2 linked regions of the Cricetulus griseus genome follow. The protein of the gene in region 1 purifies or fractionates together with the protein of each later gene. This does not show direct contact. Links are inferred from orthologs where the notes say so. Each region holds a gene or a part of one and is shown in the gene's direction. Other genes may lie near its edges.

Evidence for each region.
Region 2: the proteins of Pkn3 (region 1) and Arhgap26 purify together in Homo sapiens (affinity purification with mass spectrometry; 3 studies listed by BioGRID and IntAct, with this or other methods). This does not show direct contact. The link is inferred for Cricetulus griseus from reciprocal best matches to the Homo sapiens genes PKN3 and ARHGAP26.

The regions. Positions count from the first base shown.
Region 1 is NC_048599.1:141,743,478-141,751,815, forward strand, and holds the start of Pkn3 (serine/threonine-protein kinase N3), read left to right. Parts: upstream 1-2,745; 5' UTR 2,746-2,855; coding exon 2,856-2,882; intron 2,883-2,946; exon of another isoform or gene 2,947-3,117; intron 3,118-3,235; exon of another isoform or gene 3,236-3,429; intron 3,430-3,492; exon of another isoform or gene 3,493-3,811; coding exon of another isoform or gene 3,812-3,826; intron 3,827-4,566; coding exon 4,567-4,795; intron 4,796-5,003; coding exon 5,004-5,149; intron 5,150-5,663; coding exon 5,664-5,972; intron 5,973-6,155; coding exon 6,156-6,339; intron 6,340-8,119; coding exon 8,120-8,269; intron 8,270-8,338.
Region 2 is NC_048595.1:198,536,511-198,544,733, reverse strand, and holds the start of Arhgap26 (rho GTPase-activating protein 26), read left to right. Parts: upstream 1-2,663; coding exon 2,664-2,685; intron 2,686-3,166; coding exon 3,167-3,262; intron 3,263-4,858; coding exon 4,859-4,920; intron 4,921-8,223. UniProt on the Homo sapiens protein: GTPase-activating protein for RHOA and CDC42. Facilitates mitochondrial quality control by promoting Parkin-mediated recruitment of autophagosomes to damaged mitochondria.

The DNA.
Region 1 (8,338 bases):
TAGCTGCACTAGTGGGGAGAAGTACATCTGGGAAGATGTCTCCAATATTGTAAAGGTAAGTCAGCTGTGAAGTTGTGTGCTGGGTGGTGGGCTTGCAGTCTGCCTGAGTATTTGAGCAAAGTTCCAGCAGACTGGGCATTACTCTTGCAGATGCCTTAATGGGACCTTGACTCCTTTTCTCTCCATGTGAGGCACCTGACCATGTCATTCAGTTTCCTGGTGCTGAAGTAGTATATAGGAGGCGCTGGGGGGTTTGCATCCTTGCAGGGTTTTGCCAGGCTTGTGCAAAATCCAGCATTTGACTACTCCCTGCATAAAAAACACCAAGATAGAAGCCTTTAGCCACCTGTAAACTACTTCAGGGGATCCAGTCAATGCCATGGAGTGGGGATTGGAGTCTGCAGTCACATGTGCAAATACTTTCCAAGACGATTGCTGTGTGGCCTTGACTACCCTGGGACTCTGTAGACTAGGTTATCGTTGAGCTCAGACACCCACCTGTTTCTGCCTCCAAATGTGTGACACCACTGACCAGTGCATAAATTCTTTTTTATTCATTTTGAGACAGGGTTTCTCTGTGTGGTTTTGACTGTACTGGAACTTGCTCTGTAGACCAGGCTAGCCCCAAACTCAGAGATCTGCCTGCCCTGCCTCTAGAGTACTAGGATTACAGGTGTGAGTCACCACTGCCTGACTTTTATTCACTTAAAAAAAAATTGTAATACAGGAGCCTTTAACCCCAGTACTGGGCTGGCAGAGGCAGGCAGATCTCTTAAGTTTGAGGACAGTTTGGTAATAGAGTTCCAAGACAGCCAGGTCTGGGGATGGTAATACATGCCTGTAATTAGCACTGAGAGAACAAAGCTAATCAGAAATGCATAGTAAAACACCATCTCCAGCACTCGGGAGGCAGAGGCGGGCGGATCTCTGAGTTCAAGACCAGCCTGGCCTACAAGAGCTAGTTCCAGGAGAGCCTCCAAAGCCACACAGAAACCCTGTCTGGAAAAACCCAAAAAAATGTGCATGCATGCGAGTCAAAGGACTTTGTGTGAGTTGGTTCTCTACATCATCAGTGTTAAGGGATTTTGTTACTGGCAGCAAAACCCTTTTACACAGGGAGCCACTGGTCTAAAGGAGAGTTCTGAATCAATTTATTTGCTTACTTCTCCATTTTTATTCATTTTATTTATTTTTATTTATTCATTTTATTTATTTTTGGCTCAAAAAAGCCACCTGAGTGTTGGAATTACAGGCATGTGAGGACACACCCTCTCAACCAGTGAACTGTAACACTGGGCAGCTCGGAGAGAAATTTACTAGTCTGATTCGTGTTTTTTTGTTTTTGTTTGTTTGTTTTTCGTAAACTGAAGTCCTTTTACTTGTAACCAGAGGTTCTTTTAAATGGAAGATGAAACCCTGCAAGGTACCATTTAATCCCAGGGTTGTTTGTTAAGACCTTGGCTCAGCTGGGCGGTGGCGCACACCTTTAGTCCCAAGCAGAAGCAGGCAGATCTCTGTGAGTGTGAGGCCAGCATGGTCTATACAGAGTGAGTTCGAGGACAGACTCCAAGGCTACGGAGAAACCCTGCCTCAAAAAAAAAAAAAAAAAGAAAAAGAAAAAGAATTGGGGGCTGCAGAAGAAATGGGTCAGTGCTTTACATCACTTGCTCCTGAAAAGGACTAAGGGTTTCATTCCCAGCACCCCATGGGGGTTCATGACTCCAGTTCCAGGAGATCTGATGACTCTGACCTCCAAAGATACCAGACATCCAAATGGTGCACATAAAGAAATACTAGAGCTGTGTGGTGGTGACACAGTCCTTTAATCCTAGCACTCAGGAGGCAGAGGCAGACCCAGTCAGATCTCTATGAGTTCAAGACCAGCCTGGTCTACAGAGAGTAACCTTGTCTCAAAAAACAAAAAGAAAGTAGTCCCCTATCTGGGTATTGTGGCACGCTTTTTTTTTTTTTTTTTTTTTGGTTTTGTTTTTTTTTTTTTTTTCAAGACTGGGTTTCCCTGTGTATCACTGGCTGTCCTGGAACTCACTTTGTAGACCAGGTTGTCCTCGAACTCACAAAGATCTTCCTGCCTCTGCCTTTCAAGTGCTAGGATTGAAGGCCTGGATATAGTATGTTTGGACAACGCCAACCAGTTCAATCTGGCCCTCTCCACCAGGCACACAGGGTCTTAACCGCTCTCTGACCCCCATCCCATCTCTTGGGCAAGCACTCAACTCGCTGTGCTCCGGGCAAAACCCACTCATCTGAGAAGTCTCCTACCCTCACTTTTTAAAAAAATATGCAGATTCGGGAAATTGATTGAATCCTTGAGCTTGCCTTGCAGCACTTTATTGAACTCCCTCCCCAGACCCTACGGACTTAAACTATGGTAAAGGTAAAGTCAGAACATCGGCTCCGGCTGAGTCAGCAAACTCTTCGCAACGAGCCAGAGGTGGTTCATATCTTATTTGTATCTGGCCATAATTTGGATCAAGGTTTAATCCGCACCGGGCTCAAGCCCCCGTTGCACGCTGCGGGCAAAGCTCGTGCAGAAATGGTGCCCGGCCTTCCATCTCTAGGAAGATCAGCTCTGGTGCAGAGCGTGAGCGATTAAATCAGGAAGGGGACACGAGATCCGCGGAGCTCAACTCGTTTATAGGGTCCTGGGCGCTGCTCTCGCACGGCCGGGAGGGGGCGCTGCTCCCCACACCTGCCGGGCGCGCGGGTCTCGGGAGGGGGCGCCCGATCCCGCGTGTACCGCGCCGCTTCCCGGGAAGTTTCAAGTTTGAAAGTCCGGCGCAGAGGCCCGGGCTTCCGGAACCGTAGTGAAGGAGAGGACTGGCCGGCGCAACGCCATGGAGCAGAATGGGGCGGCGCTCCAGGTGAACCGAGCGCGCGCAGCGGCCGCGTTTGCAGCTCAGGGCGCCCCACGCTCGGGTCCACCCCACTCCGGTCTCTGATGACCTCTGCGCGGGCCAGGATCTGTGCCCTGGGATAAGACGCTCTGGTCCCCAGAGTGACGGAGATCCAGCTCGGCAGCATGCCTGAAACTGGAATGTGCCTTGAGGCTGAGTCTCAAGTTCTTTAAAAATCAGTTTTCTGGAGACTTGCAGACGGGTGGGAATTTGGCAGAGGTTGGGGTGCCGGCCCTCCTAGAGGAATCTTGGGGGAGAAGCTGCGAGCGTTGGGGAGGGTGGGACTGGGCTCTTGGTGGGCGTTCTCTCCAACACACCACACCCACAAGCAAGACCACTTTCTCGCCACCAGAGGCACCTGGCCTAGCAATGTGCAGGGAACCCTTGGGTCCACAGAGGGGCCCACAATGTGGAGGGGCTCCGGTTAGATGTGTCCCTTAAGAAGGGAGAGAGTGTCCTACCTCAGGGTAGTTAGAGATGGGGCGGGACATCCAGTGCCAAGTCAAAACATGAGGTATGGGTGAGGTATGGTAGACACGGGTACATAAACGGCTCAGGCAGCCTGCACGCCTCCCAGTACTCTTCTTCCAGAGATCCCTCTTGGCCTTTCTAGCAGTGACTTGTACACATTTTCCGATTTCCTGTGAGCCGCCGCCCTGCGGCAGCAGCAGCAGCGTGGTGACTCAGGACCCTGGTGGCCAGCAGGCCCCCAGCTCTGGGACAGCTTTGTTTGCTCAGGCCTTTGGCTCTGGCCTTCTTGCCTGGGGCGGTCAAAGGATTTCCTGAGCCTCGCCCTGGCCCTGCCCTCTGAGAGCTAAGGCAGTTTAGCCGAGGCCTGGAGTTGGGGGGTTGGGAGCCCCTAAACTGAGTAGCTATTCTTTTATGGGGCTAAGGAGATGGAACACAGAGAGGTAAGAGGAATAAAATAGGGTGGCTGCCATGAGGGGGGTCAGCAGGGGCTTCCCTCTCAGCCTCTGAGAGGTTGTCTCCCCCTGCCTCTAACCTGGTGAACGGTTGAGGGGCTCTTTTCCTTCCTGCCGGCTCTGAGCAGTCCAGACCTCCTCAGCTCCCTCTAGCACCTCTGCTTCACCACCTGTCTGCCACACTGTCTAAGGCAGAAGAAACAAGTTTTGGTGTCTTGGGCCACTGGCTGCCTCCTGCATGTGACCTTGAGTAAATTCCTTGCCTGTAGTTTCCTCCCAGATTGCATTTGGTTCTCAGACCTAGAGAAAGCAGCATGGCTGGCTAGGAGAGAATGGGGTCACTGTCCCTCAATAAACAGTGGTCACTCCTCTGTGTTGCCTCTGTGAACAAGCCACTTAACCTCTCTTTGTTCTTTGCTCCTGTCTAAAATGGGAATGAGAACTAGCATGTTGATTTGTGGCAGAGCTCTTGTTTAGCATGTTCCAAGCCCTGGGTTCTTTCTCCACTATCAAATAAGAGGCAAAAGGAGTTCAACTTGTTAGAGCTCTTTGGTCTAGAATTCAGGACCCAGAAAGCATCATGGTAACCTGATCCATTATCTTTCTCTTCTCTCTGAAAGAAAGACAAGAGCTAGACACTATAGAGTTCTAAGACACCCCAGTGCTCTGTCCGTTGTGTTTGTTCCCCCTTGGAAGGGGGTGGGTTATGACTTCTCTGCCCTTTGCAGCCTGGGACTGGCCAGAGGCCTCCTGAGGATGAGGAAGAGATGATCCGTCGAGCTATCCAGAAGGAATTGAAGATCAAGGAGGGCATGGAGAACATGCGGCGTGTGGCCACAGACCGACGCCATTTGGGCCATGTGCAGCAGCTGCTGAGGGCCTCCAACCGCCGCCTGGAGCAGCTGCATGGCGAGCTGCGGGAGCTGCATGCCCGAGTTCTGCTGCCAACCTCAGCTGGTGAGTGAGGATCCTGAAGAAACCCCAGGGAATGGGAGAGTCACGGGCACCCTGATCCTTGCCTTGGCTCAGACCACTGGGCAAGACCACCTGACCTCCCTATATCGTACATGTTGCTGATTGGTCAGGAAAGAAGGGAAGAGAGAGCCCTTTACAGAGGTCTGCACTTTGGTGGCAGGATCGTGCATCCCCTACCTTCTCTCTGCAGAGCCAGTGGCCTCAGGACCCCGGCCGCGGGCAGAGCAGTCAAGGGCTCGGCACTTGGAGGTTTTACAGAGGCAGCTGCAGGTGGAGCTGAAGGTAAAGCAGGGAGCTGAGAACATGATTCACACGTGTGCCAGGGGCACCCACAAGGTAAGTGCTGGGGTCTGCCTGGAGGCAGAGGCTGCCTTCTGATCTGATGGGACAGATCTAGCTCTCAGGTGTTAGGAGGGCAGTGCCAGGTCCCGTGCCAATGGGGAAATGGTACCCAACCCCAGCCCTTTGTCTAATGGTGGAAGTACAGCCCTAAATCCTAGTTGGGTGAGTGAAGCAAAATTCATTCCCATCCACTTTATCGTAAAGGCCCAACAGCAGTCTAGCAGAATATCCACCCAACTGCCGGGCTCAACTCTCAGCATTCTACCCTCCATGCTCCATCTGACAGGGTGTTGTAACACTTAGCTTGTCAACCTGATGGGAGTCAGGCTCCACTCACCCTGCAGCCCCTACCCCATTACCTACCCATTACCTCCCATCAACAGGGAGACTAGTCTGTAGCAGCTTCCTTGTGGGAGGTTCCACCTTGGTATAGCAGGGGGAGCTCAACTCCAGCCCCTGGTGGTCAGCCTTAGCCCTGATCTGATGGGCAAGTGTCACATCCCTGTAGGAAAGGAAGCTCCTGGCAGCTGCCCAGCAGATGTTGAAGGATAGTCAACTGAAGGTAACCCTGCTCCGAATGAAGATAAGCAGCCTGGAGACCAGCGGATCTCCAGAGCCAGGTGAGGCCTCTCAAGGCAGGGAGGGTGGCACCCAGTGGCCAGGGCTGAGGGTTCACCTCCTTCCTGCAGGCCCTGACTTGCTAGCGGAGGAGCTACAGCACCGACTGCGAATCGAGGCTGCTGTGGCTGCAGGAGCCAAGAATGTGGTGAAGCTACTTGGTGGCCAGAAAATGCAGGACCGCAAGGCGCTGGCTGAGGTCAGGCTGTGTCCCCTGGCCTACTGCTCTTCCTATAGCTCTGCTTCTCTCTGTCTGCCGTGCAGCGCTGCCTGGCACCAAGGGCTTGCTGCCTGTGTTGGGTGTCGGTGGAGAAGCATAAGGCATAATTTGTCCCCTTCACACCACACCTCATGTCTGTCTCTGCCTGTGTCTCCATTGTAGGCCCAGGCCCAGCTCCAGGAATCCTCCCAGAAGCTAGACCTCCTACAGCTGGCCCTGGATTTGTTGCTGGAGAGGCTGCCACCCACCCATTCGCTGCGCAGCAGGGTGACCCGAGAGCTGCGGATGGCCATGCTCGGGAACCCCCAGCCTTCAAGGACACTTGTGAAACCCATTGCTCTGACAGGTAGGTAGAAAGGAGGGCCCTTACCTCTTGGAGAGGACCCTGGGTCCTGGAGCACTTTGGGAAAGAGTTCAGCGCTGCTGTGTGACCTTGGGTCTGTCTGATAGTCCCATTCTGGTTCTCAGTTTATCCACTTGTAGCAGAGATGGTAGTCACAGCCTGGTAGACCAGGCTGGCTTTGAACCCAGAGTTAACTCCAGAACTCAGGAGGCAGGAAAAAGCAGGTGGATCTCTTTGAGTTCCAGGCCAGCCACAGCTACATAGTGAGACCCAGACTCAAAGTAAAACAAACAAAGAATAAAAATACTGATAGCACTGACTCATAGATTGCCTTGTAAGTCCAATTAACTTGTTATCCTTCAGCACTGAGCACAGTCAGCGTTTGGCCAATATGATGTAATTTAAACAAGTGACTGAAAGTAGGGAGTAGTGGTAGTCAGCGCACTCCCGTGCCAGCCTTGGAGCCAGGCCAGGGCAGCCTGGCTACCACAAAGTTCTTTCTTTTTTTCTGGGTTTTTCTTGTTTTGTTTTGTTTTTTCCAGACAGGGTTTCTCTGTGTAGCCTTGGCTGTCCTAGAACTCACTCTGTAGACCAGGCTGGCTTTGAACCCAGAGATCTGCCTGCCTCTGCCTTCCAAGTGCTGGGATTAAGGGTGTGTGCCGTTGCCTGGCCAGAAAGCTCTCTCATAGCCTGAGCTGAGGTCTGTCTCCTTGTAGCAGTAGCTGACTGACTCACCAAATCATCTGAGCTGCAAGGCATAGCCTAGCTGGTGCCTGCTGCAGGGAACAGTGCATGGGGGTGGCTAGACATCTATCTGTGTGGGCCCTGGTCTTGGGTCATCAGGGTTCCTTAGAGGAGGTGGAGTCTGAGCTTGGAGATCTCGTGGGAGTGCTTATGGTCAAGTCAGCAAGCTGAGGAAGACAGAGAAAACTGTTTGTTTAAAGGCAAAGAATTTGAGATAAGGATGTGGCAATGGTGGGAGGCAGTTGGTAGAGTTCTTCCCTAGTGTGCGGGAGGCCCTGGGTTCAGTCCCCAGCACCATATAAACTGGGTGTGGAGCACACACACCTATAACCCAAACCCTTGGGAAGTGAGGCAGGAGGACCAAGGGTTCAATGGCATCTTTAGCTACACAATGAGTTTGAGGCCAACTTGGGCTAATGAGATTCTATCTAAAAACAAAACCATACACCCCATATCCTAGTTCATGGTTGATCCTTCATCTCCTAAGATGAGTATCCTTCCTGGACACCACCCTTGGGATCTCTGTAAGCTTCCCAGGTATTACCTCCAGACCCAGCCTACCAAAGGTTTTCCCAGACTCATTCATGTCCCCAGGAGCTCCTGGGTTCCTGTTTTTGCTACCCTCTGAGACAAAACTCTCAGTGATCTCAGACAAAACATGTTTTGTTCCTATTCAGGACTCACCCTCAATGTTCAGATAGGAACAAATGGGGCAGGCAAACTTGGGCTGCTCGTGGCCCCAGGCTCCCGTGCCTGCCCCTGTGCACTTGAGGCCATGGTGCTCAGGGCAGCAGCTTACTCAATCCTGTGGTTCCACATGATTCCACACAGCTCCACAGGGGAGGTCCTGTCATTGCACAGGCACCCAGGAGGGAGAGCTGGGAGGGCTTCTGAAGATGAGGGGTGGCTACCAAGGCCTAATGTGGACAGGGTCAGTTGACCCCAACTCTAACCCTCCTAGAGCAAGTGGTATCCCTCTGGGGTCCCTTAGCCCATTGGTGGTGGTTTTTGACAAAGTGCCCTCCCGACTCCCAACCAGGGACACTGCAGGTCCGCCTCCTGGGCTGTGAACAACTGCTGACAGCTGTGCCTGGACGGTCTCCCATGGCTGTCCTGGCAGGTAGCCCCTCTGAAGGCTGGCTCCGAACCAGGTCCAGGCAGCAGCGTGGTGGTGGAGGAGAGCTGGCCAGTGCGTAAGGGGAGCTATGGAAGGTGGTGGGGGTGCCTGTCTGGACATACTCTGAATCCCAAACTTGGT
Region 2 (8,223 bases), on another chromosome or scaffold:
AGATATCAGCAATACTTTTGTGTTGAAATAGGCAAGAAGCAGTGATTTTTGAGTATCCTTACTTTATGTCTTCACCATCGTCCCAAATACCACAGAGGGACTATCTCAACTGCAGGGGTGCAGTATTGAGTCCCCACATATTTCAGGGACCTCAGTCCAGAGGACTGATGAGTCACAATTATGCAAAGTGTTTATATAGTAGATCTCCTGCACTTGTGGGGCAACCCCCAGGCTCTATCCAATGATTGGCCCTTTTTAACTCATCTGGGGGCATAGCTAATACACAAGTTGTAACTTGAACCCAGGATCCAAAGCTGGTGGAGTGGAAGCAAGAGTTTGGGATTGATCATTGTATAACCAGAGTCTCATAGGATGCAAGTGGAGAGGGGTAGTTCCCTTAAGGAAGCTGGAGATACTGTGCCTCAGCCAAACACAGATGCTGAGCAAGCGAAAAAATAGGTGCCTACTGTTGTTTCCCTGAAAGACTTCTCTACTAGGTCCAAGGTGAGCTCCCTTCCAGGTCACAGGCTCTGAAATACTCATTCCATTCAGCTGTCCTCCCTGGCCCGGAGCCTTGTATTGACTCCATCACAGCTCATTACCTCATCTTCCACCAGGCCCAGATCTAGCCTCTCCATCTGCTGTGGGCCACCAGGCAGTGAAATCAGGTTTCTTTCTGCCTGTGACCTGGCAAGGCAGCACTTTTAGAAGGGCCCCCAGAGGCCCTGTTCGTCATGAGCTGGTCCTTCATCCTTATTGGCAGCTGCTGGCCACCCACACTTTTAGGAGCACCCTGGAAACTTGTCCCAACTCAGTTTGCATTTCACTTGTTTCTCCTTTGTGGAGGTGATTGTGCTGTTGGAGAGGCAGAGGACTGCCAAGCCAGCGGTGAAGTGATCCTGCTCACACTGTTTGCTCAGGCCTCATTTTTTGAGTTCTCATCAAGGGTACCTTTGAACTAAAATGTGACTACGTTCAGCCACACTCACATTTATTGTGCTTGTGCTTTAGGGCTTCTGGGGTCCTTCTCTTCCACTTTGAAATGACACCCTTTCTTTTTCCTCTCTGGCCTGTCAGGAGTCTCAAGTTTCCTTCCTCCCCACAGTGTTCTGAATTTCAGGCTTGCCAGGATGAACTGTGTTCTGAAGGATTCCCTCTTCTTCTAAGAGAAGCCTAGTTCCCTGCTGTCTTATTTGGACGGTTTATTAAGGACTCTTCCATGAAAGCATCTGTACCAGGGAGGGGTTGGAAATTGGATCCTGTGTTCTTTTCCACCCTGAGTGCCTCCTATTGTGTTGTAGAACAGATTGGCTTGCCTAGGATCCATGCCCTCTGGGTCCTGGTTTAACATCTAGTCAGTAGTGTGAGCTCCAGACTGATGACAGTAGCATCCCCCACCCCTGCCCTCAGCCCCAACCCAGAGCCTATACTAACAGCTCTGGCTTGGAAGGGACACTAGGGGCTAGATTTGTAAATTATGCCTCTTTGTCATTTGTTCAACAAACTCCAAGCAGATTGCACTGTACATACCAGGAGAAGAGGCAAACCAAAACAATCAAACACTGATAATCATCACCTTTAACTTAAAGGAGAAAATGGGAGCTAAAGAAGGAAGAACTGAATACTTTTAAAAATTGTTTTGAAATTGCCATATAATTGCCTCATTTTTCCTCTACTCCTGCCCTTCAAATCCCTCCTGTGTGTCTCCCTTGTTTTCTCTCAAATTCATGGCCTCTTTTTCTTTAGTTATCTCTCTCTCTCTCTCTCTCTCTCTCTCTCTCTCTCTCTCTCTCTCTCTCTCACACACACACACACACACACACACACACACACACTCTCACACACACACACAAACACCCCAAGCTCAAAAAAGCTAAAAAATAAGTCTACCATATGACCCAACTATAATACTCCTTGGACATATATGGAAGAACTCAATATTATTCACAATAGCTAGGGAATGGAAACAACCTAAATGACCTTCAGCTGATGGAAGGGATGCTTCTATTTAGGGGTCACATTGATCCTGGAAGCCAGAACTTCCCATCTTATTAAATCCAGGCCTTGTTACCAGTTATGCCTCCTATTACCCTCCACTGGGAGTTTAAACTTAATGCCATTTCCTCTTCAATGAGGGAAGCCTGGATAGATGGTAATTTGAATGATTAGCCTAATCTGCAGGAAGGCTGCATGTGGAATTAAGTTAAGCAAGTCGTACTGAGCAGCCTTGTCTGTCAGGCCACTTAACAGTACCTTGGTGATTTTATGCCCTGAACAGAAGCTGAGGGCTCAGGAAGGATCATTGGCTTTTATTACTGTCTTAAAAGAAAGTTTAGATTTTAAATTTGACAAGGGCCCCAGAGAGTTTTCATGATAGATACCATGTGTGGGGTTGGCTTCTTAAGGAAATCCCAATACAAAACATTGCCAGGGCTTCATTCCTCTGGTGACTGTGGAAAATGCCTCTAATGGAAATTTGTCAAGCTGTTGACTAATGAGAATGGGTCAGAGAGGGTCTGAGAACTTGGCCCTTGTCTGTCTTTAGTTGGAAGAGGAAGCTAGGTGTGCTTATACCTGGAGGCAGCAACACAGGCTCTTCCTGCTTTTCCTTTTGAGCTACAAAATGTGTTAGAGCCACACATGGGGGAAGCTGTACTGACCACATGGAAGGTGGCAGCATAGCATGTACCTGTAGGCTCCGGGGACTGATGTTGTTTCTGATCCAGGCTTCCTCCTTGTTCTCCTTAAGTGGCGAGATTCCCATGTGTCAAATGGCGATGATAGGTCTCAATGTGTTTTGAGGAAGCAAACATATGATTAAAAATATTGTTTGTATGTATATATACACACCTCCATTGTGGTGCTGGGAATCAAACCCAGGGCCTTGGAGTGCCAGGCTAGCACTTTACCACTGGATTATATCTTTATCCCATAGGATTCGAATTGTTAAAGCAGTTACAATAAAAATGTTAACTAGAGCAAGTCAATACTTTATATAATGTGTTGTTACATAAAAAGGTATTTACCATTTTGAGTTAACTTCTCTTCCGTGAAATGATCTCAGCAACAAACCTTGCTAAGTATACACAGAAGGACTTAAAAAGGGCAGCAACTATGAAGGCCAATTTAATTTCAATAATTTGTCTTTTTCTCTTTTTCTTGTTAGATTTGTCTTCAGCAAAGCGGAAGTTTGCAGATTCCTTAAATGAATTTAAATTTCAGTGTATAGGAGATGCAGAAACAGATGATGAGATGTGTATAGGTGAGTCATAACCTCATGGGAGATGGGAACATTTGCTGTTCATCCCAGAAAGCCTTCTCCTGGGCAAGGAGGCCTAATAGTAAAGGTAGAAATCCAGTGGGTACTGGAAGGCACAGATAGGAAGGCCAGGATGGGGCCTCCCCTTGCCTTGACCTCACTCTCTGTCCAGGAAACTGGAGGATGCAGGAGGAAGCTGGGAGTTCTGTGATGGTGCTCTTATCCATTCCTTTTTTCCCCTTACCCAACCACAGTACTAAGAACCTAAGACAAGAATGAATGCAGATGATAAAGAGAGTTGGATCAAGGTTGCAGTGTTAGCTAATGGACTGAGATGAGAAAGCATAATGTTTTAGTTGATTTTTTATTTTAAACTGAATTACCATGTAAGTTGAATTTATCTCAACTTGTTTTTCTTTTTCTTTTAAAATTTTACAAGTTTGATCTAGCAGCCTTCCATTTTGGCCTGGTAACAGCTGGCTGGAGCCATGTAACTGTCACTCCCTGCTGTGTGGGAGCAGAGCTCAGTGGCTATCTCCCTGTGTCCCCACCTCTTTCTTCTGTAGTTTCCTTACTGAGAGGTGGAGGTGAGCTCCTGAATATTACCATGCTGAACTGCTTCCCTCTTTACTGCTCTCTTCCATAGGCTGCTCTGAGCACAGAGCAATGGTGCAGCCAAGACTCATCACTTTGCTAGGGTCTCATATTCTTTTCTTTTTTCTTATATTGGGCATCTTGGTTGATGCTCTAAAGGGAGGGAGAACTAAGAAGAGTTGGGACTAGGATTCTAGCCTGATGGTAGAACACATACTTGGTGTATGTGAGTATCTGGGTTCAATTCCCAATACCAAAGAAATAAAGAATCGAGAAAGTTAAAGTTGTTGGGATGATTTTTGAGTCTGTTGCCAAACAGAACACCAGGATTTGGGTATGAGCAAAGACATCTGGGATGTAGGTGAGAACAATGAAAATGTGTCCTTGTTGTAAGCCATGATGCTTTTCCAGCATTGCCCAAGTATCCTAAAGTCCTGGGGCTACTTCACCAAGTGTCTGGTGCCTTCATGAAAGATTCCAGCAGAGACCATCTGTGTTTGATGGCTGTGCTTCAGGCTGCATTCTACTAATGAGTGGCTTCAGAACTCCGGGAGAAGGAGCCTAAGGAGATGCCAGAGATGTGGCTTCTGTTGCCCGCAGAACTGTTTGTATAGTTGTCATGCCAAAGAAAAGGTTGGATTCTGATGCAGCTCAGCAACAAAGATTGAAGAGGTTGAATCCTGGACAGGAAATCCTTCGGCTCCTTAGTGGAACTCTGCCCCTTTCAGTCCCAGGGCTGGGAGCCTGCCAGCCCTCAGCAGTCCTGGGAATGCTCAGGAATAGGCGGGTCTTTTTCTTGGAGAAATCCTCTAGCTGGTCTTCCAGGAGCAATTAACCTGCCTTTCTGGGTCATCCTGTCTTCAGTGGTTAATGATTAAAAGACGAGGGAATCTGCAGACAGCAGTTGACTTTGGGCATCTGTGTGCATAAGGAATTTAAATCTGTAAGTTGCTTTTGCATACCTGTCATAATGCTTTCAGTTCATGGCTTCTTTCTTTCTTCCAGCGAGATCTTTGCAAGAATTTGCCACTGTTCTCAGGAATCTTGAAGATGAGCGGAGTCGCATGGTGAGTATCCTCGGCTTCTCCTGGTCCCAGACAGTCTATGTACCTCGAGAGAGCAAGGAATTTGCTGTTAGAAGACCCAGGTTTAAGTCGAGACTGCCTTTGGCGTCCTCTGAGGCTGTGAACCTTTGCAGAATTTGAAGCTTTCTGTGAATGTTAAAGAATTACCAGTGCTTAACTTTGGAAGAGTATCATCATCCTCAAGATTCACTGTAGGTCTGGGGAGGTCATTCAGTTAGTAAGGCACTCACAGCATAAGTGTGAGGACCCTAGTTCAGGTCCCCAGCACCCATGTAAACAAGCTGGGTTGAATGGTGCACGCCTGTAATCCCTAGGGTTTGCTGGCCAGTCAGTCTGTCCAAATTGGTGAGTTCCAGCATCAGGAGAAGAATCTCTCAAAAAGTAAGATGGAAAGTGGACAAATAACTGAGGGATAGCATTAGTGTTAACCTTTGGCACGCATGCACACACACACATGCATACATACATGACTTTAGGGTGGTGCTTTGGTCTGAATTCACTTTTGGGTATTTGGCAGAAAGAGAAAAGCATGTGTCCTAGTCTGCTTCTCTATGTCTTATTAAACCCACCCAGTGGCCATTTGAGGGAAGGCATCACTGCTTCGCTCTAACCCCAAGGCATCTGCCATGTAGCTGGCAACCAGAAAATGTAACCAGGCAAGAATGTAACTGTGGGAGCTCCTCAGAAATGGAGTCTGCAAATTCAGGAAGCCTGCTGACCTCTAGGTTCCAAAACAGTGCTTTCAAACCAGCCTCTGTTGTGAAGTCTTTCAGCATTAATGGGTGGGGTCCCTTTGCATTTCTCCCATCCCCCAGATAGCGGGAGTGAAGTCTGTTTAGAAGCCCCTAGCAGACTTCATGCTGCCTTGTACCTGGGGTTGGGGTAGGGGCTCATCTCCAGGTAGACAGTGCCAAAAGGATGGCAAAATTGGAGTGTTTTTCTTCTCTTTCTGTAGCATTTACTGACAGCATGAGCTTGTAGTTACCAAGACTGAAGCCAGAGCCTGACCTGTTCTCTGTAGCTCTTGTGATAACTCTGAAGTCCCATCTGCGCTATCCTTGTTTTCCAGATGAAGATCCTGAGGTTTACAGGGTCCAAATTGCCTGTCCAGGCTCACATGTGTAATAAGTTGTGCAGTTTCCATTCAAACTCAAATCGGTATTATACCAAAAGTTGTGGGGATTTCTTTAAAATTCCAAGAGAATAGAAACCCCTACCCTTTGCCTGGCAGAGACCCAACCTCTTCTGACTACTGACTGATGTTTGCTTGAACCCAAGTTGGAGCACCAGTGGCAGCGACAGGTGTGGTGGTAGGTAGAAGGAGGTGAAAGCTTGAGTGTACATGTGCCCGAGAAAGGGAAATGACTCTTTCGAGTCTGATTCAGGGTCATGCCAATATTTAGGGGTGGGGGTGAGGTAAGCAAATCGCCATGAATACCCTGCAGATTGCTGTGGCCTGTGGTAGGGGCAACAATGACTGGATTATGCTTTTTCAACTTGCCTCTGCAATTTTATTATTCCTTTCTGCTGTCTGCCTCTGAGTATCCTGGCCATCTTCCCACCCTGCTCACCCTGGGATTGCTTTATCATCAGTTTAGCTCAGCTCAGCAAAGCTGTACCCTTCTGGGGAGCCATGGCTCTCTGGGATATTTGGCTGTCCATTGTGTTTTCTAAACATTGGGTTCATTCCCCGGATTCTGCATTTACCACATGTGTCTGGACCATTACTGCTGGCATCTGTGTGGCTAGTAAACACGAGTTCCTTGATGGCACAGAATGGCCTTGTGTGGCTAAGTAAATATGAGTTCCTTGAGGGCAGAGAATGGCCCCTGTGCTCTACTGTTAGTCCAGCTACTCCTTACTGTCTGCAGTCTCTCTTTTGATAGATGAGAACTCAGGTCTTGTCCAGACTGACAGTGTTAACAACACTGGGATGAGGACTAAAACTGACAATGCTAATAGTCCCAGAATGAGGACTGGTTGTCCTGCTTCCTCTGAGAGCACCTGGGTGCTTGCATATTCCAAGTTTCCTTAGGGCTAGCATTGCAGCATGGGTGCCCACTGGAATAACCTGAGGTTCTTCACAAACACCCATGTCTGGGATCAGGACTAGAGACTGAGTTATTAGACTCAAGCATGACCTGGCTCCCGGGATTTGTAAAAGCTCCTCTTGGGATCTTGTGTGCAGCTGAAGTTGAAAACCACTCATCCACTGGCTCGGCACACCTTTGTGAGCTTCAGGAACTTGCAGTTGATTTATGGGAAAGACCTACATAAACTAATTAAACAATACCTGTTAGCAATGAAAATCAGGTGCGTTCGCTACTGCAGTGTTAAAAGGTACTCTGCAGAGGTGAGTGCTTTCAAAAATAAGAAACAGGCAAATGGGAAAAATATGGAGATCCGCCCTTTCCTGTCCCTCACATTGTCCAGGCAGTTCTTTACTATGTCCATCCAGAGCCTCTGGCATTTACTGTGCTGTTGCTGTTGTGAAGGGCATGCATATGATTTAGGGAAAATGATGCTTTGTTGAAGTGAGATTCTTGAAATAACTAGTTGAGAGAAGGCTGAGCAATGAGTAAAGATCGTAAAATATTGCTCTGGTTTAGAAAAGGCTGTAGACACTTAGAGCTGGAGCAATTCAGCCCCCTCATTTTTCTGGATTAGGAAATTAGAGTCCAGAGGATTTAAATGTTTTGTTCATGGTCACACACTTGGCAGCTTGCCAAGGAGTCATTCACTCACTCATTTAGCCATTCAGAAGTGTTTGAGCGGGCCTTTGTTTCTGGTTTCTTTGGTGCTTTGGGAATACTGGGGGATGAGTGAGTATTTTCAGGGGCATTGTATGTGTCAGGAGATAGTCCTGAGCTAGAAAACTACCTGGCATATGCGTTCCAAAAGGCTGGGTTTATGGACTGCTTCTCTGAATTACAGCCTTAGAGGTCAGGGAAGGCCCTCACAGAGAAGTAACCTTCAAACCGAAACCCTGATCATAAAGAGCTTCAGAGAGAACATCGACAAAGGGCCCACAGTAGGACAGATTTGGTGCATTTGAGGTCTGTTGGTGTGACAGTAAATCAGAGTGTGGGAACTGATGCTTGAGCCCTGGACAATACAGTAGGGAGTCAGCCAATGGTCAGGATGCAGGAGTCTCAGCCCCAGTTAATTCCCTAAGGAGTTCATTATGCTTGAAAGGTCTTTTCCATAGATGGTCCAAAGGTGTTTCAGATTTTCACTGAGACTCACTGTTGATGTACTTTGCCTGTAGCTTGAATGAATGTCACT